Cricetulus griseus: one gene and its partners. The protein of the gene in region 1 interacts with the protein of each later gene in a biochemical or structural test. Links are inferred from orthologs where the notes say so. Each region holds a gene or a part of one and is shown in the gene's direction. Other genes may lie near its edges.

What was found. The genes of interacting proteins can lie anywhere in the genome.
Region 2: the proteins of Xiap (region 1) and Htra1 form a complex in vitro, tested with the Homo sapiens proteins (2 studies listed by BioGRID and IntAct, with this or other methods). The link is inferred for Cricetulus griseus from reciprocal best matches to the Homo sapiens genes XIAP and HTRA1.
Region 3: the proteins of Xiap (region 1) and Pgam5 form a complex in vitro, tested with the Homo sapiens proteins (2 studies listed by BioGRID, with this or other methods). The link is inferred for Cricetulus griseus from reciprocal best matches to the Homo sapiens genes XIAP and PGAM5.
Region 4: of the proteins of Xiap (region 1) and Htra3, one has a biochemical effect on the other in vitro, tested with the Homo sapiens proteins (3 studies listed by BioGRID and IntAct, with this or other methods). The link is inferred for Cricetulus griseus from reciprocal best matches to the Homo sapiens genes XIAP and HTRA3.
Region 5: the proteins of Xiap (region 1) and caspase-9-like form a complex in vitro, tested with the Homo sapiens proteins (12 studies listed by BioGRID and IntAct, with this or other methods). The link is inferred for Cricetulus griseus from reciprocal best matches to the Homo sapiens genes XIAP and CASP9.

What each region holds. Positions count from the first base shown.
Region 1 is NC_048604.1:25,910,212-25,915,878, reverse strand, and holds the start of Xiap (baculoviral IAP repeat-containing protein 4), read left to right. Parts: upstream 1-2,441; 5' UTR 2,442-2,469; coding exon 2,470-3,343; intron 3,344-4,524; coding exon 4,525-4,624; intron 4,625-5,667.
Region 2 is NC_048596.1:69,844,743-69,849,733, reverse strand, and holds part of Htra1 (serine protease HTRA1), read left to right. Parts: intron 1-684; coding exon 685-879; intron 880-1,364; coding exon 1,365-1,397; intron 1,398-3,036; coding exon 3,037-3,151; intron 3,152-3,543; coding exon 3,544-3,601; intron 3,602-4,988; coding exon 4,989-4,991. UniProt on the Homo sapiens protein: Serine protease with a variety of targets, including extracellular matrix proteins such as fibronectin. HTRA1-generated fibronectin fragments further induce synovial cells to up-regulate MMP1 and MMP3 production.
Region 3 is NC_048597.1:90,058,832-90,063,250, reverse strand, and holds part of Pgam5 (serine/threonine-protein phosphatase PGAM5, mitochondrial), read left to right. Parts: coding exon 1-31; intron 32-878; coding exon 879-1,004; intron 1,005-1,087; coding exon 1,088-1,176; intron 1,177-1,270; coding exon 1,271-1,404; intron 1,405-4,004; coding exon 4,005-4,155; 3' UTR 4,156-4,419. UniProt on the Homo sapiens protein: Mitochondrial serine/threonine phosphatase that dephosphorylates various substrates and thus plays a role in different biological processes including cellular senescence or mitophagy. Modulates cellular senescence by regulating mitochondrial dynamics.
Region 4 is NW_023276807.1:104,690,931-104,695,921, reverse strand, and holds part of Htra3 (serine protease HTRA3), read left to right. Parts: intron 1-355; coding exon 356-455; intron 456-3,181; coding exon 3,182-3,404; intron 3,405-4,991. UniProt on the Homo sapiens protein: Serine protease that cleaves beta-casein/CSN2 as well as several extracellular matrix (ECM) proteoglycans such as decorin/DCN, biglycan/BGN and fibronectin/FN1.
Region 5 is NC_048595.1:11,415,685-11,420,020, reverse strand, and holds part of caspase-9-like, read left to right. Parts: intron 1-479; coding exon 480-659; intron 660-1,164; coding exon 1,165-1,274; intron 1,275-3,073; coding exon 3,074-3,163; 3' UTR 3,164-4,336. UniProt on the Homo sapiens protein: Involved in the activation cascade of caspases responsible for apoptosis execution. Binding of caspase-9 to Apaf-1 leads to activation of the protease which then cleaves and activates effector caspases caspase-3 (CASP3) or caspase-7 (CASP7).

The sequences.
Region 1 (5,667 bases):
CACATAAGTAGCTGATATGTTTTACTTCACATAATTTCATCCAGTTCTATTCATGTTTCTGCAAAGTGGCAGAATTTTAATCTTTTTAAGGATAAATATTACATTGTATACATACACTACATTTTCTTTTTCTGTTCCACAATGGTCACCTACATACAAATAGTGCTATAATAAGTGGGCAAATACAGGTGTCTCTTCAGCATACTGATTTTACTTCCCTGGATGTATGCCCTAGCTCCTGTGTTAGCTGTCTGTCTGTTTGTTTTTGAGATTGTGTATCACAGGCTGGCCTAAAACTTGTTATGGAGCTGAGAATGAGCTTGAAATTCTAATCCTCTTGCTTCCACCTCCTAAGTTCTGAGATCGTTGGTGTACTGCCACACCCAGTTTATGTAGTGTTAAGGTTAAACCCAGGGCTAGGTGAGTACTCTGCTACATTAGCAACATCTCCATCATTGTCTAATTGGTTTTGAAACTTATTTGTGTGTGTGTGTGTGTGTGTGTGTGTGTGTGTGTGTGTGTGTGTGTGTGTGTGTGTAGACCTATGATTGTGTGCATGTGAGTGTAGGTGCCCAAGGAGACCAGAGGCATTAGATCCCCAGAAGCTGAAGTTACAGGTGATGTAAGCAGTCTGATGTGGATATCGATGCTGGGAACCGAACTCGGGACCTCTGGAAGAGCAGTAAGTGCTCTTAACTGCTGAACCACCTCTCCAAACTCAGCTCTTGTCTAGTTTTTGAAGAGGCTCAATTTAGGGGCTGGAAAGATGGCCCAGTGTATTGTGGAGGCAGAAGCTGGCTGGATCAGCCAGCTCGTAGTTCAGCTGAAAGATTCTGCCACAACAAAGTAGAGAATGATAGAGAAAGATATCCATGCACATGCATGCATACCAAGCACACACATCTACACAAAACCAAGAAGAGCTTCCATTTTGTGTTCCATAATGGCAGTGCTAGTTTACATTCCTGTTTGTAGGTCCTTTTTTCATATCCTCAGCAGCATTTGTTGGTTTTTGTCTTTCAAATAATAGCTATCCTGATAGGTGTGAGGTGATACTTCATTGTGGCTTTTATTTGTATTCTGGTGTTTAATGTGGTAGTTGGCCGATTATACATCCCCCTTTGAGAAATATCTGGATATGTATTCATTGCTACATCAGAATCTTTCATTTTTGCTGTTATTTGAGTTTTAGCCATTTGTTTATTTTGCATTTCACAAACATACTGAGGACAGAATGGCAATGTGGAAGATTCTGGAGAACCAGCTTGTCTTGTAGCTAGGGTGACCACATGTTCTTCTATCTGCTTTGCCTATGGTGACCATGATTCATGCCTGTTATCCTTATGCAATTATTAGTAGCATCATTTAGCACTTTACCATGTTGGAGGACAAACTGTCTTGCCACTCTTCCCATAATGCAGCTGATTCCTCTTGGTATGTTATTTGGCCTAAACATGACATCGTTGTAATTTGGCAACTGTAATGAGTGTTAAATTCTCTTCCATTTAAACAGGCTATTTCTTGACCAACAGAAGTTGATGGCAAAAGTAACTTCAATTAATATCTGTGACTTTTAGAATGTTTAAGTCATTATAATATTTTGTTTAATATTTTTATTAGTTCTTTGAGAATTTTATGCATGGCATTTTGATCACAGTCACCTACCTCCCCAACTCCTCCCAGATCTACCACCTGACTTTGTCCTTTTGTTTAAATGCAGCAAGTTTAATTTGTGCTTCCTATATACCCTTGGGCATGGCCTCCACCAGACCACTTTTTTTTTTTGCTAAGCAAGAAAGTAAAAATATATTTAAAATTAATCCATGAGCATTCTAAACATTCATTTTTAAGTAGTAAAAATTGAACTTTGATGCCTTGAATATGAAATGATTCATTATAACTATTATGCATAGTCTTTAATAATCTGCATGTTTTATGCTGCATTCATGTTTTTCCTAATTAAAGGCTTCATGTGTTTAATATTTATAATTTTTCTGTGTCATACTTTCCATATTTCTATAAAATGAGTACTTAAGATTCGTAATTCTGCTGTTTGTTTACATATTGTTTTCCATCAAAAGAGAAAGTGGGACTGAGATTGAGGCTCATTTTCGGCACTTGCCGAAAATGCCAAAGACCCTGAGGTGGATATCCAGGACTACAATAAATAAGAGAAACAGGCTGGTTTATAGTTCTGTGTTGGAGCATGTGTCTGGCATTGTGTGAAGCCTTAACACTGAAAGAGAAAAAAAACAAAAGCACCAGATTTTAAAACTCAAGTAGTAATGTAAGGCTCTAGTGTTTAGAATTAAATGTGTCTTAGTGATTGTACCACTGTTTTTATGTTATCAGTGGATAATTTGTTAGTGCTTAGTATCAGAAATATGTTACTTTTGTTATGTGTTTTGGATTTCCTAATGCAATGTTCTCTTTTTAGAAAAGGTGGACAAGTCCTATTTTCAAGAGAAGATGACTTTTAACAGTTTTGAAGGATCTAGAACTTGTGTACCTGCAGACACCAATAAGGATGAAGAATTTGTAGAAGAGTTTAATAGATTAAAAACATTTGCTAACTTTCCAAGTAGTAGTCCTGTTTCAGCATCAACCTTGGCACGAGCAGGGTTTCTTTATACTGGTGAAGGAGATACTGTGCAGTGCTTTAGTTGTCACGCGGCAGTGGATAGATGGCAGTACGGAGACTCAGCTGTTGGAAGACACAGGCAAATATCCCCAAATTGCAGATTTATCAATGGTTTTTATTTTGAAAACAGTGCCACACAGGCTACAAATCCTGGTATCCAAAATGGCCAGTACAAAGCTGAAAACTATGTGGGAAACAGAAATCATTTTGCTCTTGACAGGCCATCTGAGACTCATGCAGATTATCTTTTGAGAACTGGACAGGTTGTAGATATTTCAGATACCATATACCCGAGGAACCCTGCCATGTGTAGTGAAGAAGCCAGGCTGAAGTCCTTTCAGAACTGGCCAGACTATGCCCACTTAACCCCCAGAGAGTTGGCCAGTGCTGGACTGTACTACACAGGGATTGATGATCAAGTGCAGTGCTTTTGCTGTGGTGGGAAACTGAAAAATTGGGAACCCTGTGATCGTGCCTGGTCAGAACACAGGAGACACTTTCCCAATTGCTTCTTTGTTTTGGGCCGGAATGTTAATGTTCGGAGTGAATCTGGTGTGAGTTCTGATAGGAATTTCCCCAATTCGGCAAATTCTCCAAGAAATCCAGCCATGGCAGAATATGAAGCACGGATCATTACTTTTGGAACATGGATATACTCAGTTAACAAGGAGCAGCTTGCAAGAGCTGGATTTTATGCTTTAGGTAAACTTAACCAGTAAATTACTTTCCATCTGTCATAGGGCTCCTAAAAAGAAAATCATTGCCTTTAGTCTTCTGAACTAATAAATATTTAGGCATAAGTTTTCAGGATTGCTTATCATTAGTATCATTCTCTGAACTCATATGTTAAATCTTCATTGTCATTACTGAATTTATGCTTAAAAGGCCATGCTATTATGAGTCAGATCTGTATTCATACAGTTGTTTGAGGGTTGAGTTGAGAGAAGAAAAAAGATGGTATTGATTCCTGATAAATAATGGGTCTAATAGTAATAATAGCTGCCATTTAACGAGCATCTACTCTGTATGCTCAGCATACTTATTACATGGATTGTCTGTAAGCTTCACCACAACCCTATAAACAGAGTTAACAGAGAATTTAGGTTGGTTCATGGTAAACTGACATCAAGCTAAGCATGGTGCCACATACCTGTAATTGCAGCAGTCCATAGGCTGAGGTAGGAATGAGTTTGAGGGCAGTTTGGGCTACGTCATGATACCCTCGAAAAGAACCAAAGAAAAAGTAACATCTTTAACATACGCTACATATTTGAAAGCTGCCCTGTATTATGCCTTATTGCATCAGAGTATTTTTGAAACAGTCACAGTATGTGACTTAAAAGCCAGTAATATGGTTGCTTCTAGGAATATTTTATATCTGCATGCCTGGTCCACTTATTTTAAGATTGAATAGTGCTAAATTCAAAATACAAATTATTTCAAATTTTTTTCATTTATATAACATAGTAATCTTGAAGGTCTTTTTCATGTCAGAGAGCTCTATCCTTAAAGACACTTACTTTGTAGTATCTGCTGAATTTTATTATAGTTAACATTTGGAATATAACTTGTACAGATTTCAGTTTGATGAAGTAAGTGTGATAGTAATGACCCAAATGACATGCACTAGAAAGAATGTAACAATTGTAGTTTTTAACATAAAATCTTTGATTTTACTTTTGTTGTCTTCTACAAAGCACCCCATATCGGGATGGTAAATTTAGTGTGTATTTCCTGTCAAATGATAAAGATCGTATCTAGATGGAATATGAATGTTTTCCTTTAAGCCATGAGATTGTATGTAACTTAGACACCTCTTAAATGTTAGAATGGGCATTTTTTGATGCACAGATACACATAGTTTTACGTGCATGTTTCCTTAGGTGAAGGTGATAAGGTGAAGTGCTTTCACTGTGGAGGAGGGCTCACAGATTGGAAGCCAAGTGAAGACCCTTGGGAACAGCATGCGAAGTGGTACCCAGGGTAAGATTCTTAATTGTTCATTCAGGAATAGGCAAGTTGGACATTGTGCAGGAGAAAGATTTGAATTACTTTTCACCTCAACTATTTTTGCCTTCACTATGGCTTGTAATTCACACCAAGTTTATAGAAATGGGGTCACCTACTTCGTAGGCCAAAAAAAAAAAAACCCACCTAAGACTTCTGGTAACCAAAACATTCACTGTTCATATATTATATGAGGGTTCCATTTATAAACACCAAATTACAAAAATGTGTACTTTTTATTTAGTATACTATACAAAAATATATCCTTTTTATTCAGAAGTAGACTCTTTGGCGAGTGACCTGAGCCCATGGTACCATGGGAAGTCCTGAAGAGCTGGCATAATGTATATTATTATTTGTGTTTTGTTTGCTTTTAGTTTGAAACAGTTTCTCACATTAACTCGGTTGGCCTGGAGTTCACAATGTCTTCCAGGCTGGCCTCCATCGTGAAACTCTCTTGTCTCTGTAAAATAAAGTACTCAGCTATATAAGTTGTATGAGTTTCTAATATATAAAATAATACAACTTAAAATTTTAGAAGAACCATTTGAAAAGACTCTTCCTTAAGCAACCCAAGTGTTCCGTATTGGTTTAAAAAAGAACCCATTTCCTATGGAAAGAACCTTTGTCAGCCTAGATACAGAAGGGGAGGGCCTTGGTCCTGCCTCAAGTGAGGCCTCGCCCTCTGGAGGAGTGGATTGGGCGAGGGATGGGGAGATGGTTGGGGCAATGAGAGGGAACTGGGATTGGTATGTAAAATAAGATTGTTTTAAATGGCCGGGCGGTGGTGGCAAATGCCTTTAATCCCAGCACTCAGGAGGCAGAAGAAGGTGGATCTCTGAGTTTGAGGCCAGCCTGGTCTATGGATCGTCAGGGCTACACAGAGAAACCCTATCTCAATTCCCTCCCCCCCCAAAAAAAAGATCAGTGTGAAAATACTAATTTAATAGCTTTTTTTTTTTTTGCCTGTTAGCAGTTTTGGATTTTCTTGTGTTTATTATAGTCTTGTTATATGTAGC
Region 2 (4,991 bases), on another chromosome or scaffold:
GTTTAGGGAATGCCATAGGCTCTGACCTCAGGTGACCTTAAAGTGAAAGGGTCAAAGACAGGGTGGAACTGTGTCTGGAAAGGTGACATACACTAGCTTGTCTCAGCACAGTTGCTGGAACCCTTCATTCAATTTTCAGGGACTTGAATACTGGTAAATAGCTGATGCTCAGCTGATACAGCGGCCAAGCGGGCTGTTTCCAGAGAGCTGGTCAGGCTCCTATCATTGGGTTCTCACAAGATACCAGTGAGACTGGTGGACTGTCTTATTCCCACTTCTCAGATGAGGAGTTCATGCTTGTAAGCTCAGGCAGAATTTCAGTTTGGCAGCCTGACCTCAGCCTGTGCCGCAGATGACTGGTGCTCAGAATCCCTATCTAGGACTTTGATCTCTAAGCCCATCTTAAGCTTAGGTTGTCTCCCTTTGTCCTCTGTCCAGCTGCATGGATAGCTTCAAGATGTGAGACCCAGAAATGATCTATCACTTCTTCTCATTTCCCTTGCTGTGAGTGTCTTGTTTCGTTGACTCCCCAATTGCCTGTGGAGTGTGGATTACAGTAGGGGCTTGGTACCTAGTTTAGCACCAAGCTCAGCCCCTAGGGGCCAGGACTGTATTTGCCCTCTGTATTTGCATTATCCAGTTTGCTAAGCAGCAATGCAGCAATGACTGTCTTTGTGCTTGCAGGGAAAGCTGCCAGTCCTGCTGCTTGGTCGTTCCTCAGAGCTGCGGCCGGGAGAGTTTGTGGTAGCCATCGGAAGCCCTTTTTCTCTTCAAAATACGGTCACCACCGGGATTGTCAGCACTACTCAACGAGGTGGCAAAGAGCTGGGGCTCCGAAACTCTGATATGGACTATATTCAGACAGATGCCATCATCAATGTGAGTCCTTCACTCCCTCTACCTGCTGGGGTGGCGGCAAGTTTTTACCAGAGGAAGCTAGCTAGTATTCCCAAACTTTCTTGTATTCTGCATGAATTCTTGGAACTAGAATAAACCACATGGAGTATAGTCCTACCCGGTTGTGTATGGGTGGTGGTGGTGATGGTGGTGTCCCACTTGGGGTTAAAACAGAGTTGAACTATGTGGTCCTGAAGCAAGTGGGTAGCCAGTCTCATTGAGGAAGTCAAAGCAGATTAGGTGCTCACAGTGGGCCTGGAGGTAAATGATCCCACTATGGCATATCCCAGGCTTTTTGAAAATGGTAAAGATCCTTCTTCTAAGCCGAAATTAGGTGAGCAGAGACAAATCTTGGGAAGAGCGCTGCCAGCTGCTTCAGCACAGTGCTTTGAAATGTTTTGGGCAGGGACATTGGTTAGATGGTGACGTGAAACAGATCTGACCTTTTCCTCTTGGTTTTGTTTCAGTATGGAAACTCTGGAGGCCCCTTAGTAAACCTGGTAAGGCCTTTCAGTACCTATGCTGTGTTTGTTTCATCTGTGGGCATGCTACTTCCTTTGCTTTCTCTTTGGACATGAGCTTGTCAGAGCACATGACATAATTAACTTTCTACTGTGTGAGTGTACTGCATCTTCGCACCTCACCCCAGCAGCCCTTTCAGGAAGCAGTAAGGCCAGAGGACACACTTGTGTTTCAGGCCACAGGTGGATGCCATGAAGTTCTAGGCAGAAAGGGGACTGAAGGTCCCTGCAGTGCTGCCATCTGTGGAAAAGGTGCCTGCAGCCTCGAGGACGGCTGAGTGGGGATGAGCTGGCCTGGCTTGCCTCCATGCCAGAACCCTCCCTGAATGCCTGTGGGCATGACGGGGAGACATCTGTTTGCTCACAGAGCTCTCACTTAACCTAGTCTTTAATACCTCAGCATAAAATTGAAGGCGACAGAATGCCAGAGCTTGGGAGTTGTTTAAGAGAGTATAAAATCAAGGCCACCCAACGATACCTCCTGCTGGGTCCCTTGGTGTCAGGAACTGATATGTGCAAAGTACACTAGGAGCACTGTGTGCTGAACGTTCCTAGGGTCTTTTTTTTTTTTTTTTTTTTTTTTTTTCCACCAGAAACTTCTCAGGGAAGAGCCATATCCTTACTTGTCCCCACCATACTTACCCTGGGGCAGCTGTTGGGAGTAGATCCTGGGGTCCAGGCTCAACTCGGTATCTACCATTGGAAAAGGAGAGCAACTCAGAGATTATGGAAGCATTCTTCCTGTGAAAAGAGCAAGTGTTGTGGATTTTGAGATCATCTGTTCATGCAACGACACAAAGATTAAGCTCCTACTTAGATCTTGTGTCTATCCTTCCAAATCCAACTGTGTCTGGTACTACACAGTACCCTACTGTCTCTCCCCTCACTATCCCCAGGCCTCCTCCTTCTAACCCTCCTGATTTTCACACATAGCCAAAATACTCTCCCTGCTATGTGTCTATATATATGAGCATTTGCATGTATGGCCACAAGTGTGGGTGGATGGGGACGTGTTGCCTGTGCACATGTGTGTTTGTGCCTGAAGCTCAGGGTTGATGAAGGATCTTTCTCATTCACTTTTCCTTTTACTCAGTGAGGTGGGGTCTCTCAGTTGAACCCACAGCTAGGTACTACAGCCAGTCACACTAGTCAGCTTTCCCTTGGGATTCCGCCTCTGCCTCTGAGGCTGGAATTACTGGCAAGCCACCACACACACCCAGCATATACATGGGTTCTGGGGAATCCCAACTCCCAGTCCTCTCATTTGCATGGTAAGCACTTTAACCACCTTGTCATCTTCTCAGCCCACGCTTCTTTTTTTTTTTCCTTTTTATTAATTGTTTTAATTGTACGCATCTGTGGGGTAGAGTATGCGATGACCAGTGAAGATAGCATCCTCCTCTCACTCTTGGTTTTGGAAACTAGGTCCCAAACCAGAGCCCAGGCGGGCCAGGATCTCACAGAGATCCTATCTCAGCTGCTCTTGAGTGCTGGGATTACGGGTGTGAGGCGCCATAGCTGGCAACGCCTTTGAAAGACTTTCTGTCATGGATTCTCTGCTCCCTTCCAGCCTGTGCCTGCCTCCTGGGTTGTTTAGTGAGCCATGCTTGCTTTTCAGGATGGCGAGGTGATTGGAATTAACACACTGAAGGTGACAGCAGGCATCTCCTTTGCAATTCCATCGGACAAGATAAAGAAATTCCTGACAGAGTCCCATGACCGACAGGCCAAAGGTAACCAGGTCCAGGTATCCTGGGGACCTTTGCAGGTTCAGTCCTGAGGCCTAGCTGGCCCCTGGGGACTTGGGAAAGGGGAAGATGACAGTCCCTAAGGCCAGTCCTCTCAAGGGTCCAGAGCCAATACATTTTACCAGGGTGGTAGTGGTGGGAGACTGAACAAAGGGGGTCTCAGTCCAGATACCCATAGGGGTTAGGAAGAAAGAGTCATGCCTGAGTTTTTGATAGTTTCTGAAGTGAGAGATGGGAACCCAGGCCAGGACTGAATCACAGTCTTTGGGTGCCCCCCTCTGGCTCATGCTACAAACTGGAACATTGGAACTCTGGCTCCCGTGTCCCAATACTCCCACCATCTGGGCTGACCTTTTGTCCCTTTGTTGTCACACCAGGGAAAGCTGTCACCAAGAAGAAGTATATTGGTATCCGAATGATGTCGCTCACATCTAGGTGGGTAAACAGGACACATAATTATATAAATATGAATGTCTACTCTGTATTTATATAAACCTGGCCATTGCAAGGCTTCAAGGGCATTCTTGAAGGGAAACTATTTCCTTCAGATACTTCAGTTTCTGCTTAAAAGTAAGTCTCACTGGGGAAGGGGAGGGACTGTTGGGCTTGGGCCTCTTGTTTTTGCATTCTGACCACCTGGAAAACTCTGCCCTCCTCCCCGAAGGCAGGCCTGAACAGCAGATGGCTGGCGCACTCCTGCACACTCTCGTGCCTGCCTCTCACCACTTGTTCTGTTGAAAATCACATTCCAGGAGTGCCCCAGCGCCCGCCCCAGCCTGGAGCACCCGCCTCCCCTGCACGCTGCAGCGTGGGGTGTGGCTGCAGGAATGCCCGGGCAGGCCCTGCCTCGGGTTACTGATGACGGATGGACTTGTTTTCCTGAGTGTGAAAGTTGCTGCCTGGGGTTGCCAAGCTCATGGCATGCTAGAGGAGGTTGGGGGAATCTGCATGAAATAAAGGAAACCAAATTGACCAGCATGTCTGAGTCACTGTAGAGCCAATGTATATTGATAGTACTGTTTTACCCAGTTGTCAAAATATTAGGACACTCCATATAGGTTATGAACAATGGTAGTTTTCCTAGTGTTGCCAAGGATAGGGCAGCTTGCTGAGACTGAAAATCATCACACTGGTTGTCTTGGGTAACAGAAGAGATGGAAGCGTGGGTGAAGGAAGCTAGGGTCATCTTTCTGGGTTGTTTCCCCAAGCTCCTGTGCTTCTCAGCTTACTCTCTTTCAGGATGAGGTTAACAGTGTGGGTGTGCCTACTGTATCGTCAGGTATAGCTCAGCATTGGTAATGACAAGCAGCTGTAGCAACAGCTGTTTTGTGCTGATGGTTAAACTAGTTTCCTGCTATTAAATAGCAACTGTTGATGCTAGTAGGCAGGCCATTTTAAAGGAGAATTGGGGGCTGGGGATATGGCTCAGTGGGTAAAGTGCTTGCTATGGTAGTATGAGGACCTACGATCAAATCCCCAGGACCTGTGTAAAGCTGGGTAGGGAAGTATGTGTCTCTAGTTCTGGTGCTATTTATACCAATATTGGAGGTAAACAGGAGACTGTCCATCACAGGCCAGCTAGCCCGGTGTATGCAGCAGCAAAGAAGAGACACCGTCCCAAACAAAGTGTAAGGCAATGACTGAGGTTGTCCTTGGACCTCCGCATGTGTGCTGTGCTGTGCCAAAGCCTGTGTATGTATGTGTCATGATCAAGTAAAGTCTTGAAGTTGAGAATAAGAAGGGAATTTGGTGAGAGCCGAGTGTTGGCACAGGAAAGCTGTGGGTGCTTGATATTAACATGGCGGCTTTGTCTCCTAAGCAGCAA
Region 3 (4,419 bases), on another chromosome or scaffold:
CTGGAAAAGGACCGCACCCTGACCCCATTAGGTATGATTGCTTGAATGATCTTGAAGTATCAGCTGAACTTGGGATGTAGTCCTTCTCCCTTTCTTTCCCCATTTCAGCATGGTGGTGAGAGAGACAGTCTCAACAATGTAGTTTAGGCTAGTCTAGATCCCTGACCCCCTGTTTTTCTTCCCAAGTAGGCGGGAACATGAATACATGGTAGTGTGCATTTACATTTTAAATAATTTCTTGTTTGGATGATGTATTTCCCATTTGTACACATATTCAAAAGTTGGATGGTAATATGTCTCCAGGTGTGTTCTCTAGCAGATTATGCCACCAACCTGAGGAGTTACTTTGTTGCTTTTGACACCTGGGCATAAGCAGAAAATCAGGTCATCAATGTGGTGATGGAGGTTCCCATATTCAGTATAGAAAATGATTTTCAGAACAAGACAAAAGTGATTTCTTGGAGTGTTTCCAGCCATATGCTAAAGTACATTTGACAAAAAGCATCTATATTTAATACTAAGAGTCAGTTTGTAGTTTGTTTTGAGACAGGCCTTGAACTCATGGCAATCTTCCTGCCTCAGCCTCCTATATTATGTTCCCAACTGGAACTTGATTTTGAACATAGTTGAGTAAAAGTAGGAGGAATAGCAAAGGGTTCACATTCCACTGCTGGTAAGTTAACGCACTGTTGCTAATTGAATCAGGTGCGTTTCTCCTTGGGGTTGAGGACAACTGATTGTTTCTTTGCTCCCTGAGGATCTGACCCTGGCTAAGCCTTTGAGGACATCATCATCAGTGGTGCTTGATGGCATTTCACTGTTTGTTCAGTAAGTGGAGGGTCCTGGTATATGACTTTCACAGTTATTTTTCCTTCAAGGTCGGGAACAGGCTGAACTTACAGGGCTCCGACTAGCAAGCCTGGGATTAAAGTTTAATAAAATTGTCCATTCCTCCATGACCCGTGCTGTAGAGACCACAGACATTATTAGTAAACACCTGCCAGGTGAGTACTGGTTGTCTGCCATGCTGAGGGTATAGATTTAGTCTTGGGGATACATTGCTGAATAGGGGTCTCCCCTTTTCCAGGTGTCTGCAGAGTCAGCACAGACCTGCTACGGGAAGGTGCCCCTATTGAACCAGATCCACCTGTCTCTCACTGGAAGCCAGAGGCTGTGGTAAAAATGTCATTCCTTGTGCCACTGGAATAGGGCAAGGCCTGCCTTTAGCCTTGTCTGTGTCCACACTGACAACTCCTTGCTCTGCTCCTAGCAGTATTATGAAGATGGAGCCCGGATTGAGGCTGCCTTCAGGAACTACATCCACCGAGCTGATGCCAAGCAGGAGGAAGACAGCTATGAGATCTTCATATGCCACGCCAATGTTATCCGCTATATTGTCTGCAGGTAAGTGCCATTAAGGACTCCTGTGTTGGGCCAGGCATAGTAGGGCACACCTTTAGTCCCAGCACTAGGGAGGCAGAGGCCAGCCTGGTCTACAGGACTAGTTCCAGGACAGCCAGGGCTATTACACAGAGAAACCCTGTCTCAAAAACCAAAAAAACAAAACAAAACAAAACAAAACAAAAAAAACCAAAAAAAACCCAAAACCTCCTTCCTGGCCTTGGGTTTCCTCAGACTAGGAGCTGTGTTCCAGCTTCCACTACCTTATGAGAATGATGAATGTCTAGGGACCATTCAGAGTCCTGTTTTCCACACACTTGTTCCAACTGCCTGTTGGTAGATGCAGTAGCAGTTAGCACTGGACTTGGTCTGGTATTTTATTTCCTTCATCCTGTTGGTATCAGAACTTCTATAAGTACTGTCTTTCTCCATGTTTGTGAGCAGTATGAGCACCTTGTGGGTCAGGATACTTGTCTGCTAGTCCTGTACATGTGATTGGACATGCATACAATCACCTGTTGTACATCATGACCTGTGATTATTGGTTTGCTGCTCAGCAGAATATTCCAGGCTCATGCTATTTTCCTATATGCCTTTTTTAGCCACTTCTTTATGGGTGCCAAGGTAGTAGCCTGCTCCCTATTTTTAGATTGTCCCCTGTGCCATGATGTATGTTCCCATCACACCTGACCAGCAGCCCAGGGATAGCTATGGGACCTGGTGGTCAGTTAGGCGAGCCTGAGTCCCAAGAAAATACAAAATGTTGGAAAGCTGGGAATCCCTACTGGGCCCTGGAGCTCCGTATCAGACTGAGAACTGGTAGGAGGAAGGTGGGTAGTACGGTGGACAGGTGCTTCTAGGGTGATTGTGGTCCCAACTACTTGTTATACCCTTGTTGCCTAGGGTATATCCTATGCATTCCTCTCAACATGTGAACAAGCCAGGAATGGCCTATTTATTTTGTACCTCATTATCTTATATTCTGTAACAGCCCCTAATGACTGACATTGATGTTGAAAATGCAGAAAGAAGAAACTAGGCACTTGGGAGTACTTACACTGTGAATAAAGGCAGAGTCCTTCTTTCTTTCAGGAATGATCATTATCCTGAGTTGTGATGGATAACACTAAGACTGTAGTCGTCTGGGCTGAGGTGTGGCTTAGTGGTAAATAGCTTGTCTGGCATGTATAGGAGCCTGGGTTTGATCCTCAACAGGAAGGGTAAAAAAGAGCTTGTGTGGAGGTCAAGGACAATTTTGTGGAGTCACTTCTCTCCTTCCTTCTACCTTTATGTGGATTCCAGGGACTGAACTCAAGTTGCCAGACTTGCACAGCAAGGGCCTTTGCCCAAGTTGGGCCATCTCATGGTCCACTTTGTTTAAAAATATACTTCATATGTCAGGTGTGGTGGCACACACCTTTAATCCCAGCACTTAAGAAGCAGAGGTAGGCAGATCTTTGTGAGTTCAGGCTAGCCAGGATTACATATATAAAGTATATATAAAGTAACCCATTTATGACTTGGATGTGGTGGCACTTACCTTAATCCCAGCAGTTGGAAGGCAGAGGCAGGTGGATTTTTGTGAGTTCTAGGCCAGTTCTATATAGTAAGTTCCAGGTGAGCCAGGGGTTGCACAGTGAGACTGTCTCAAAATAAATGAAACCTGTTTATGTGAAAATCTATATAGCCCTTTGAGGATCTAGAAGCTCTTTTTAAGCAGCAGAACACCACAAAGCATACAGTGTTCTAGCAGACTGGGATAGAGATGTAGCTTCATTGCAGAGTGCTTGTCTAACATGTATAAAGACCTGGGTTTGTCTTGTCTCCAGCAACACAGAAGCCCAGCCTGAGCTACATAAAACCCCTTTCTTTAAATAAAAGGGATACTATGTCCCTTTTCAGTATTAGCTGGGACATATCACAGGGCTTTTACAGTATTTGTAATTTAAAATTGTAGCAGGAAATGTCACATGTGTTGGTAGGCTACATTGGATTTAACTCAGGCCAGTTCTTGAGGGTAGAGCACATTCGATTACTAGAAAATGGCAGAGACCAAACTGTTCAGTAGATACTCCTGTATGTGTGTGTGCCTGCATGTAGGTACCCTTAGAGGCCAGAAAAATAGGATTCCCTGGAGCTGGGGGTATTAGAAGTTGTGAGCTGCCCAACATAGGTGCTGGGAATTTAACTATGGTTCTCTGCAAATACTCTTGGTCCATCTCTCTAGTCCCATTACCTGTGTCCTTACAAAAGGAAATCCTGTATGGGGTCATGTGTTATACTTTTATTCTGGGAGACCAGCCAGTTTCTGTCAAATACTTGTAGCACAAATGTGGATGGTGCTTGTTACAGTGCTAAACAGCCTTGATATCATTAGCCCTGAGCACATTTCTGAATTAGCTGGGTTGGGGCTTTGTTCCCACTTGTCAGATCCTTATTTAGTGTGCTATTGAGACCTTTCCCCTGAGAATCCTTTCCCTGAAGACAGTTATCACCTCAGTTGAATGTGCCTACTCCAAAAGGCTGTCAACCTTGCTTGACCCAAGAGCAGCTAGCTCTGTACTAATCTGAGATTTCTGCTAGCATCATCTTTCTCTCCCCAGAGCACTGCAGTTTCCTCCGGAAGGTTGGCTCCGCCTGTCCCTCAACAATGGGAGTATCACCTACCTGGTAATCCGACCCAACGGTCGTGTTGCACTCAGGACCCTTGGGGACACAGGATTCATGCCCCCAGACAAGATTACCCGGTCCTGAGATTGCCTGTAGGACTGCACCCTTTCCTCTGCTGGTGGCCTGGCTGCAGCCTTCCCTTCCTTGTCTTCCCTGTCTAGGCTATGCTGTGGCTTCATGTTGTCTCCAGGAAGAGGATAGATCAGTGTCACATTTGGGTGCTTATTTCTGGCCCAGGCTGCAGAAGGCAACTTATGGGTTAGATGGCCTTTTTAAAAGCTTTCTACCTTACCATTACCACTAGCACAGCTCTACAAGGTGTAGATGGGGACCTTCTGGGGCACAAGG
Region 4 (4,991 bases), on another chromosome or scaffold:
GTTACATGGGAGCAAACAAGGATCCAGGGATTCTGGTCCCCAGCATCAGTCCTGTGCTTCCTGGAGCAAAGATCCAAACCTCTCTACAACTCCTGCTCAACCCTGAAGAGCCCAGAGGGGAAAATGTGCAGAGGCTCAACTCCCAGAAGTTCTAGTTAACCATTCTCCAGGGCAGGGACCACTATCTCAAATGTCTGGGTGTCCGTGTACTTCTGGGGAATGGGGTGCAGAGCATGTTGACACTGTCTTTGAGTCCAGGCAGGGGTCTCCAGCAGGGCCTCTTCCACCTTGGGCTTAGGGGCTTCTGGGAGCCAGGAGGTCTCATTGACACCCTTGGTCCTTGCCGCCAGCGCAGGTCTCCACCAGTTGACCAGCCCTCGGTACAAGTTCAACTTCATCGCTGATGTGGTGGAGAAGATCGCGCCAGCTGTGGTCCATATAGAGCTCTTCCTGAGGTACGTGGGGTCCCAAGTTGCTCTGCAGCTTCCCAGCCATTCCCATCTGTCCTGCTCCGGCTGTCACTCAGACTAGACCTGATTCCAGCAGCCAGAGGCATAGCACAGGTGGTGTGGGATGAGTAGCAACTATGGAAATCTGGAGGCTGAAGGTTAGCCTAAAATGAGAACATAGGAGTCAAGGAGATATAGAGGAATAGGGGACAGTCCCACTGAGGTGCCAGCTCAACAGGACAAAGTGTCTGAATCAGGCATGAGGGAGGACTCATGACTAGATGTGGAGGAGAGGGAGGACTGATTGAGTGGAGGTGGGTTGATAGGGAAGCAGGTTTGTCCATGGGAGAGGAAGCCCACTGTATAATGTATGGTCTAGCATCCTGGCAGGATCCCTCTTTACAGACAGGGAAAGAGCCTCCTCCTTCCTCCCACACCCAGTATTCTATCCCAGAGATGTTTGTGCTGGGTGAGGAGGCCCTGCCTTCCAGACACACCAGCCAAGGTCCCATCACTCACATCCGGTCCTGAGGTCTCAATTTAGACCCCCTAGAGAGAGGCCGGTTGTGTCAGGAGCCTCAAGATTCTAGACACAACAATCTCCACCCTTCTCGCCCTGCAGCTGAGTGGAGAGAGCCAGCTGGGATGGGGGAGCCAGACAGGAGCCCACCTGATAGGGATCAGGGAAGCTGGTGACCGGCTTATTAGTCTGACTCTGGTCTGGAGCCGCCTGGTTACTGATGTCAATCACCATCCCCTCCCTCTATGCTCCATGGCCAGCGAAGTGTCAGGCTACTCAACCTCCTGCCCACTAACAGTGGCAAGAGCCTCGCAGTGGCAAGGTGTGCATGGTGGTGGTGAGATATGGCAGGGGAGGAGGATGAGGCGGACTCATCCAGGGTCTAGCCTGAGCTCTGGACCTAGTCCATTTTGAGTCTGTTTCCTTAAGCTACCCTGGGGCTCCTGCTCTTCGACAAGAGAGGCAGATGTGGACTCAGCCCCAATGGGACTGTGGGACCCTTCTGCTTGCCATGTCCCTCCTGTGATTAACAACTTATAGACCTATGCTTCTCAAGGCCTTTCCACACACACACACACACACACACACACACACCATTCCACCTGGAGCGGGGTTTGACTCCAGCCTGTCTGACCCTGGAACAGAAGCATCCTCCTGCCATGTGTGATTTTTCCCTGCCCTTGCCTTTGGCCCTGGGGTAAAATCTGAGACACATCATTGAGGAAATTACAAATGGATGCCCTAGGAGGCTGTCTCAACCAAAGGGGGCTAAGGAGGGACTGTGTATTTCCAGAGGGCCTGGGGCACTAACCCTGAGCTGGTTAATCACAGGTTAAGGCAGCTGAGCAGCAGTGATGTCTGACTCGTGAAGCCAAAGCCTCATGGGTGGGTAAGGTCCAAGTCGGGCAGACAGCACAGAGCCTTCCAGTCACGACCCTTGACCTGAGGGTATGGGTGCAGGGCTCTCTTGGGCCCTGTCTGCAGCCTTGAGTGGCTGGATGTAGCTGCCCTCCAGGGCTTCTCAGAGAGACGTGACTGGTAAGGAAACAGACACTGCAGGAAGCTAAGCAGCCTGGCATGGTGGGAATCTTGCTGTGCTCTGCCTCTTGCCTGACCCCAGCAAGTATGGGAGGGGAGGAGGATACCACATCTCTGGGCCTCACTCTCCCCTGAGAGTTTTGTATAGCAGTGGTTATCTAGGGCTAAGTTACAGAGTCCCACAGACTGGAGGATTAAACCCCATTCTGGAGGTTGAGGGCCATGATGAAATTATCTGCAGGACATCGCACCTGGATCCTGGGCCAGCTCTTAACTTTTAGTACTTCCAGGCACCCTTGGGTTGGAGTACATCCTCCCCACCCATCTCCCATGTCCCCCTTGTCCTCTTCTGGGTTCCTGTCTTCTCAAGGTACTGATGCTTGGACATAGGGCCCGTACTCCATCAAAATGTCACAGTCCTGCCACACTCACAGAGACCCACTTCCAAATAAGGTCACACCCATGGAGCTGTAGTCAGGACTTGATCACATTTGTTTGGAGGACACTGACCCACAAGTCTCCTGTGAACTTTGAATGAACTTGTCCCTGGCTCCAGCGAGCACTTAGGATGTTTGTTGCTTTCCATGGTCTTGCCAGGCTGAGGTGACATTTTGAAAAGACTGTCACATGCTCAAGAGTGCTAGATAGACACTTGGGCTCATCTGCTTAGTGTCCTCAGGGCCTGTGTACATTTTGTGTTACCCTGAGGAGGATCCTAAGCTGCTCCAGCCTTCTGCCCCCTCCCATCCTTAAGCAGATGGCCCATTTCTCAGATGAAAGACAAGCTCAGAGAGCTTACAGAGCCTGCCTGAGGGCAGCTAGGTCACAGGTGGGACTAGCAGTTAGTGTCCTGGCTGTTTGTCTCCAGGGCCCTGCTGTCAGGCATTGGCGCCACTGTGGGATAGTGCATGCTAACATGTCAACAAGTACTGTGTCTCACTACAGCAAACTGCAGATCAGAGATGATGGTCATATCTTTATGGCCATGAACTAGGTCCAGCTGCAGTGTTGCCAAGGCTATACCCACAAGTGACAGCCTCAGTTCAAACCCAGGTGGTGGAGGGAGTGGTCCCCCACGCCTGTTCCTTCAACACATAGGGCTCTACTCCCTCCACTATGCTGACTCCCCCAGGCCCAGGCCTGGCCCTGAGTGTCCCCTGTGCTTTCTTTGCAGACATCCTCTGTTTGGCCGGAATGTGCCATTGTCCAGTGGTTCCGGCTTCATCATGTCAGAGGCTGGTTTGATTATCACCAACGCCCACGTGGTCACCAGCTCCAACACCGCCTCAGGCCGGCAGCAGCTGAAGGTGCAACTACAGAATGGAGATGCCTATGAGGCAACCATCCAGGACATTGATAAGAAGTCTGACATCGCCACTATTGTAATCCACCCCAAGGTGAATGGGATGGGGCGCCTCGGCCTGTCCCAGAAGTGCCCTCCCCAGATCGCACAGCTTTAATAGCTCAGCCTTCCCAGAGGATAGCAGCGATCTGAGGCCCAGGGCCACTGGTCACATCAGACCTAGAGCTCGGAATTGCCCTTGCCCAAGGTGCCAACACCAGGAGCAAGCAGGACACAAGAGGGAGGGGTTCAGCCTCCCATGCCTTCCCACCTCTTTATTGTCCTAGCCAGGCCCACATCTGGGGTTCCCTGTCCCTGCAGACTAACAGACCAGGGAAGTCAGTATCCACCTTCCACATCTGTTCCCATACTTACTCTGGCTATCACAAGACCCTTTATGGTCCCCGGAAGCTCAGGTGGTGTTCTTTCTGTTTGTGGCATAGCCCCTGGAGGGAGAACCCTCATCACCTAGACTGTTACAGGGAGAAATGGAGCCTTGGGAAGATTAGAATTCTCATCATTTGGAATCTGAGGGGAAACTGGGGCCCAGAGAGGTTAGACCTCAGACCTAGGACCACAGCTAACAGTGGCAGGCCCAGCGGGCCAGGCCTAGATACAAGTCATTCTCAAACTGGATTTATTGCAACCATTGTACCACTGCATGGCTCTGGGATGGTTATGGGAGTCTTCTGTGTCCCCTGCATCCACCATCAAACAGGTCACTGTGCTTTTAGTCAGGGACAGGCACATAATTTCCTTTACTTGTCTGTGTGCCTAGCCCATCCTGGATGCAGGTTCTCAGTGTACATGGTGACAGATGTTTGCAGAGTTCACTACCTAGATGGAGGATCCATAATGGACTACCCTGATACAGACCCTCTGTAGTCCTGAACCCTGTCATGAGCTGAATCTGGGTGCACCCCTTCCTCCTGATGACATAAAAACTGAGAGTGGGTGGGACACACAGGAGGGCTGAAGTGGCAGGAACTCTTCACACTGTGAAAGCCCACTTCTCTGTGACCAGCATGCAGCTCTACTGTGCTTAGAGTATACAGGCTAGGAGGGGCTGCATGCTCAACCCTGTGCAGCTGCAGGAAGCTATAGGGCAGCACAGGATGCCACAGCCCTTCCACGGTTTCCATGGTGTTAAGAGCATAAATGATTGCTGTGGACATCAAGGACACTGCCCTGACGTGATTGGTAGAGCATGCCTGGCTTTCATTGGTAATACAAGCTTGATGTGTGTATCTCAACGTCACAGACAGACAGACAGACAGACAGACAGACAGACAGACACACACACACACACACACACACACACACACCTAGAGCCTCTGAAGCTCAGAACCTGTGCCCTGCAGCTCCCCAAACAGATACGCACATACACCTACTCTCTCGGACCACAGCAGCCGCAGGGCTGGATAACTGAGTTCACAGACAGATGGGCTCTGCTAGCCCTGTGTGAAACAGTGTTCAGGTACCTAGCATGCCAGAGATGGCAGGGCAGTGTTTCCTTCCCAGGCCTCAGTTTCCCTGTGTGTCTATATTAAGAGATCAAAGATTCCAAACTATGTTTCCCAGGCCCATGGCAGGGCTCTGGGGAGCTATATACCCCTCCTCCATGCCTCTGTTGGGTGCAGTA
Region 5 (4,336 bases), on another chromosome or scaffold:
GTTTGATAAATCAGTGGATAAGGATGCACCCTGTTACACAGACCCAGATGGCCTCCCAGCAACCACGTTGGGCAGCTTCCTACATCAGCAGCTACAAGGGATCCGGCACCCTCTTCTGGCCACTGTGGGCAATTGCACTCATGTGCACATACCTCACCCCCACACACAATTAAAAATAAATACTCTGTTGGGCATGGTGGTTTATGCCTCTAAACCTAGCACTGGGAATACAGAGGCAGGTGGATTTCTGTGAGTCCAAGGCCAGCCTGGTCTACATAGTAAGTTCCCAGACAGTCAGGTCTGCATAGTGAGAACAGCACAGGTGTGCTTTACCATATAGAGCTTCAGTCCTTCCAATGTTGGCAGAGCTCACAGGTGAAGCCTTCAGGTCCAGGCCTTTCCCTTTTCAGGAGAAGTACCTTGTGCTATAGTGTTTCTCCGCCGTTGTGACATTGGGTGTCTGTTTTTGCCCCCTACAGAGCAGAAAGACCATGGCTTTGAGGTGGCCTGCACTTCCTCTCGAGGCAGGGACTTAGACAGTGACTCTGAGCCAGATGCTGTCCCATACCAGGAAGGCCCAAGGCCCTTTGACCAGCTGGATGCCGTGTCAAGTTTGCCCACCCCCAGCGACATCCTTGTATCCTATTCCACCTTCCCAGGTGAGCCCATCTGTGCACTCGCCCTTAGCCCTGGAGGCAGCTATGTCCTGAGGTCTTGTTTCTGCTGGACACAGCCTGTGGGGTCCTTGGCAAGTCACTTCACCTCTCCTAAGCCCCTTCTCAGGGTGAAGCAGGCAATGCTTCAGACTGGCATGTAGATTAAGAATAATAATTCCCGTTGGGGTTAACCTGCAGATTCGACAAGGGAGCGGCTGGCACTTCCCTCAGCACTGTGATGGGCACCTGGTGGCAGGGCAGGGATAAGGTGCATCCTTCAATCTGCTTGAGACCCCTGACTTCTCAGAACCTCGATTTCCATACTGAGAAGATGGGAGCCCCAGGCAGTCAGTGGTGTTGAGGGTGAAAAGTAGCAGGGAGCCACAGGGATGGGGCCGCCTTTGCCACCTGTCCACAAACCACAGTCTGGATCTGGCTGTACCCAGCTTCTTCTGCCAAGGAGAGTGCCACTCCACTGTGTGGCAGAGTTCATCCTGTCTTCCTGCAGGTTTTGTCTCCTGGAGAGACAAGAAGAGCGGCTCCTGGTACATAGAGACCTTGGATGGTGTCCTGGAGCAGTGGGCTCACTCTGAAGACCTGCAGTCCCTCCTTCTCAGGGTGAGTACTTCTTTCTGAGGGCTGGAGGGGCCTGGTGAGCAGGGCAGCAGGCTCTAGTCTGCTGTAAATGCTGATGGGCCCTGGCTGAGAGTCAGGGAGCACGTTGTCTCTCAAATGAGGAATGTCACCATGGCGATGACGTTTGTCCTGTTTGCAAAGTGCCATCTTTTCCCGACTCTTTAGAGACAGATGAGCAGACAGGCATCTGGTTCCCAGAAGACAAAGTGGTCTTAAGTGCCAGGTGGGGTGGCTCAGTGGCAAGAGCATGGTACCCTGAAGCCTGGCCATATGCTTCTCGCTTAGCTCTGTGGCACATCCCCACGTGCTCTCTTTTTAGATTGTTCCAGGTAGCCCAGGCTGGCCTAGAACTTGCCATGCAAAGAGCAATGAACTTGAACTTTTGGTCCTCCTGCCTCTACTTCCTGAGTGCTGGGATTACAGGTGTTAACCACCACACCCAATTTATGCAGTGCTGGGGGTGAAACCCAGGGTGTCACGTATGCTAGATAAGTAATCTCCCAACTGAGCTACATCCCCAGCCCCATGCTATGACTCTTTATCTTCAAGCATTGTGATTCTGTCTAGATTGTTCCCTTCCTGGAGGCCCCAATGAGAATGAACAGGGAAGGGGCGTGGCAGTGCCTTGCTTCATAGCAGCCAGCCACCTCAGGGCACTTGGTTGTACCCATAAGGTGTATACCAGGCTTTTTCTTTTGGCCATCAACCAGCTGTCAAATCATGGAGACTTCTTTTTTTTTTTTTAAAGAAATTTTTTAAATTAAAAAAATTTTTTTTGAAACTTTATTTAATATGCATTGGTGTAAGGATACCAGGTCCCCTAGAACTGGAGTTACAGACAGGTGTGAGCTGCCATGTGGGAGCTTGGAATAGAACCCGGGTCCTCTGGAAGAGCAGCCATTGCTCTTAACCACTGAGCCATCTCTCCAGCCCCCGAGACTTCTTATTAGTTATGAATGCTTGGCTACACTTAGGCTGGTTTTTGTCTAGATCTTTTCCCTTAAATTGACCTGCTTCTCTTTATTTACTTCTTGTCTTTGGGGTTGTCCTTTCCTTTCCTTCTGTATACTTTCACTGCCCTCCTGTGTGGCTGGCAGATGCCTGGCTTCTTGCCTCCAGTGAGACCTCATCTTTCTCCCTCTTTCCTCCAGTTTTTGCTCCTCCCCCTATTTATTCTCTGCCCACCAGGCCTGCCTATCCCTCTCCTTCCTAGCTATTGGCTGTTCAGCTTTTTATTAGACCAATCAGGTGCTGTAGGCAGGCAAGGTGAAACAAATGTGAAACTCATCTTTCATGAGTAAACACACATCCTTACATCATTAACCAGTGCAACATAAACAAAAGTAACACCGATGCACAGTTCAGGTAAACAAAGGCAGCACATCTCTGCCCCCTGAAAAGATTGCTCCACAACAATTAGGGCCCGGTGGGTTTCCACTGCTCTGCCCAGTGCAACCCCTGGGCTCTAGGAGTCACTTCCGGTCCTGCGTGGGGCCCTACAGGACAGAGGACAGCTGAGCAGCTCATGTTGTCTCTGGGTCTCCTCTTCCCCACTTCCTTACCCCTAGCGTTTCTGTCTGATTGGAATTGTGAATTTTTATATTAGAGAAGTTGGATTTTCCATTCTTTCCCAGTAGCTGAGGTGTTTGTTCTATAACCCACCCCAGGAGACTGTAGGTAGGGTCACCTTCAGATGGCCCCTTCAGTGGCCCGCCCCCTCAGTTAAGGCCTCAGACAAGGACACTGAACTCACAGATTGCCCCTGTGATTCTGTTTTGCAGGTCGCCCATGCAGTTTCTGAGAAAGGGATTTATAAACAGATTCCTGGCTGTTTTAACTTCCTCCGGAAAAAGCTGTTTTTTAAAACTTAATGAGACTGGGGCTGCTCCTTGCCTGAATGTTCCCCTAAACCTTCATGGCCTGGAGGTGACTGAGACTGGACTGTCCTGCAAAGCCAGGGTTTTGGAACCGTGGCAGGCCGCTCTCTTCCCTTCTTTGGCAGACAAGCTCCTAACAGCTCCCAGGTTGGTGAGAGAGGCAGAGCATTGGAGGGAGAGGGACAGAGTGCTGTCATTGTCACTGTGTCTCTTCAGCTGAGGTTAGGGACTGTGGCCTGTGACCCCCAGGTCCTCTCTAGAGCAGGACTTCTCTGAGTCTGCCCTACTGACATGTGGGGTTGTATAGTCCTGTCATGGGACTGTCTTGTGTATCAAAGGGTGTTGCCACGAGCACCCTTCCTGAGTTTTACCACCCAGAAATGTCTTCAGACATTGTCACATTTGCCCTAGGAGACATAACACTGGAGGAGCACTGTCCACAGGGGTCTGTGGATCATATATCCCAGCATTCTTTCCCAGACCCGCATCCAGCTGACCCAGTGTGGACACCTGGCTCTGTGAGTCTGGTCCAAGTTTCTTCCCTTAGCACAGAATTTGTTCTTAAAAAAGTGAATCTTAGGCCAAGGGACTTTGTTTTGCCTGTGTCATCCCCACTCCTGTTCCCTGTTCTTCCCTACAAAGGAGACTTTTTTGTTTTTTCTGAGCATTTCTCCAAGTCTTCTAAGATCCCTGCCTGAGCCCAGGTGGTAACTTATGGGGTGTGGGGGAGCCAGGAGTCCCCATGGATCCCATCTCCTGTCTGAAGGATCACCGTCAGCCTACTGGAGACACCTGGACAGAACTCAGCTATCCTGAGTCCCCACCTCTGTCTCCCAGTGTCTTCCTTGCTAAGTGAGCCTGCCCCCTGGTGGCAGTGACTGCGCAATGGTGCAGTGCTGGATGTCCCTAGAAAAGGTGCTGTCCCTGGATCTTTACAGCTGTCCTGACTTTTACTTAGTTGTTTTTTCTTTTTTTCTGATTTCAGTGGTCTTTGCCCTGAGAACATCCACTTTTGCTCAGATGGTAGGGGTACAAGCCTAGTTTGTTTGTTTTGAGCTGGGCTCTGACTTTGTAGTCCATGCTGGCCTGCAAATCTTCATCTTGAGGCCTCCCGAGTACTGGGTTACAGTGCGCACCACCACACCAGGCTCCTCACAGGCTTAGGTT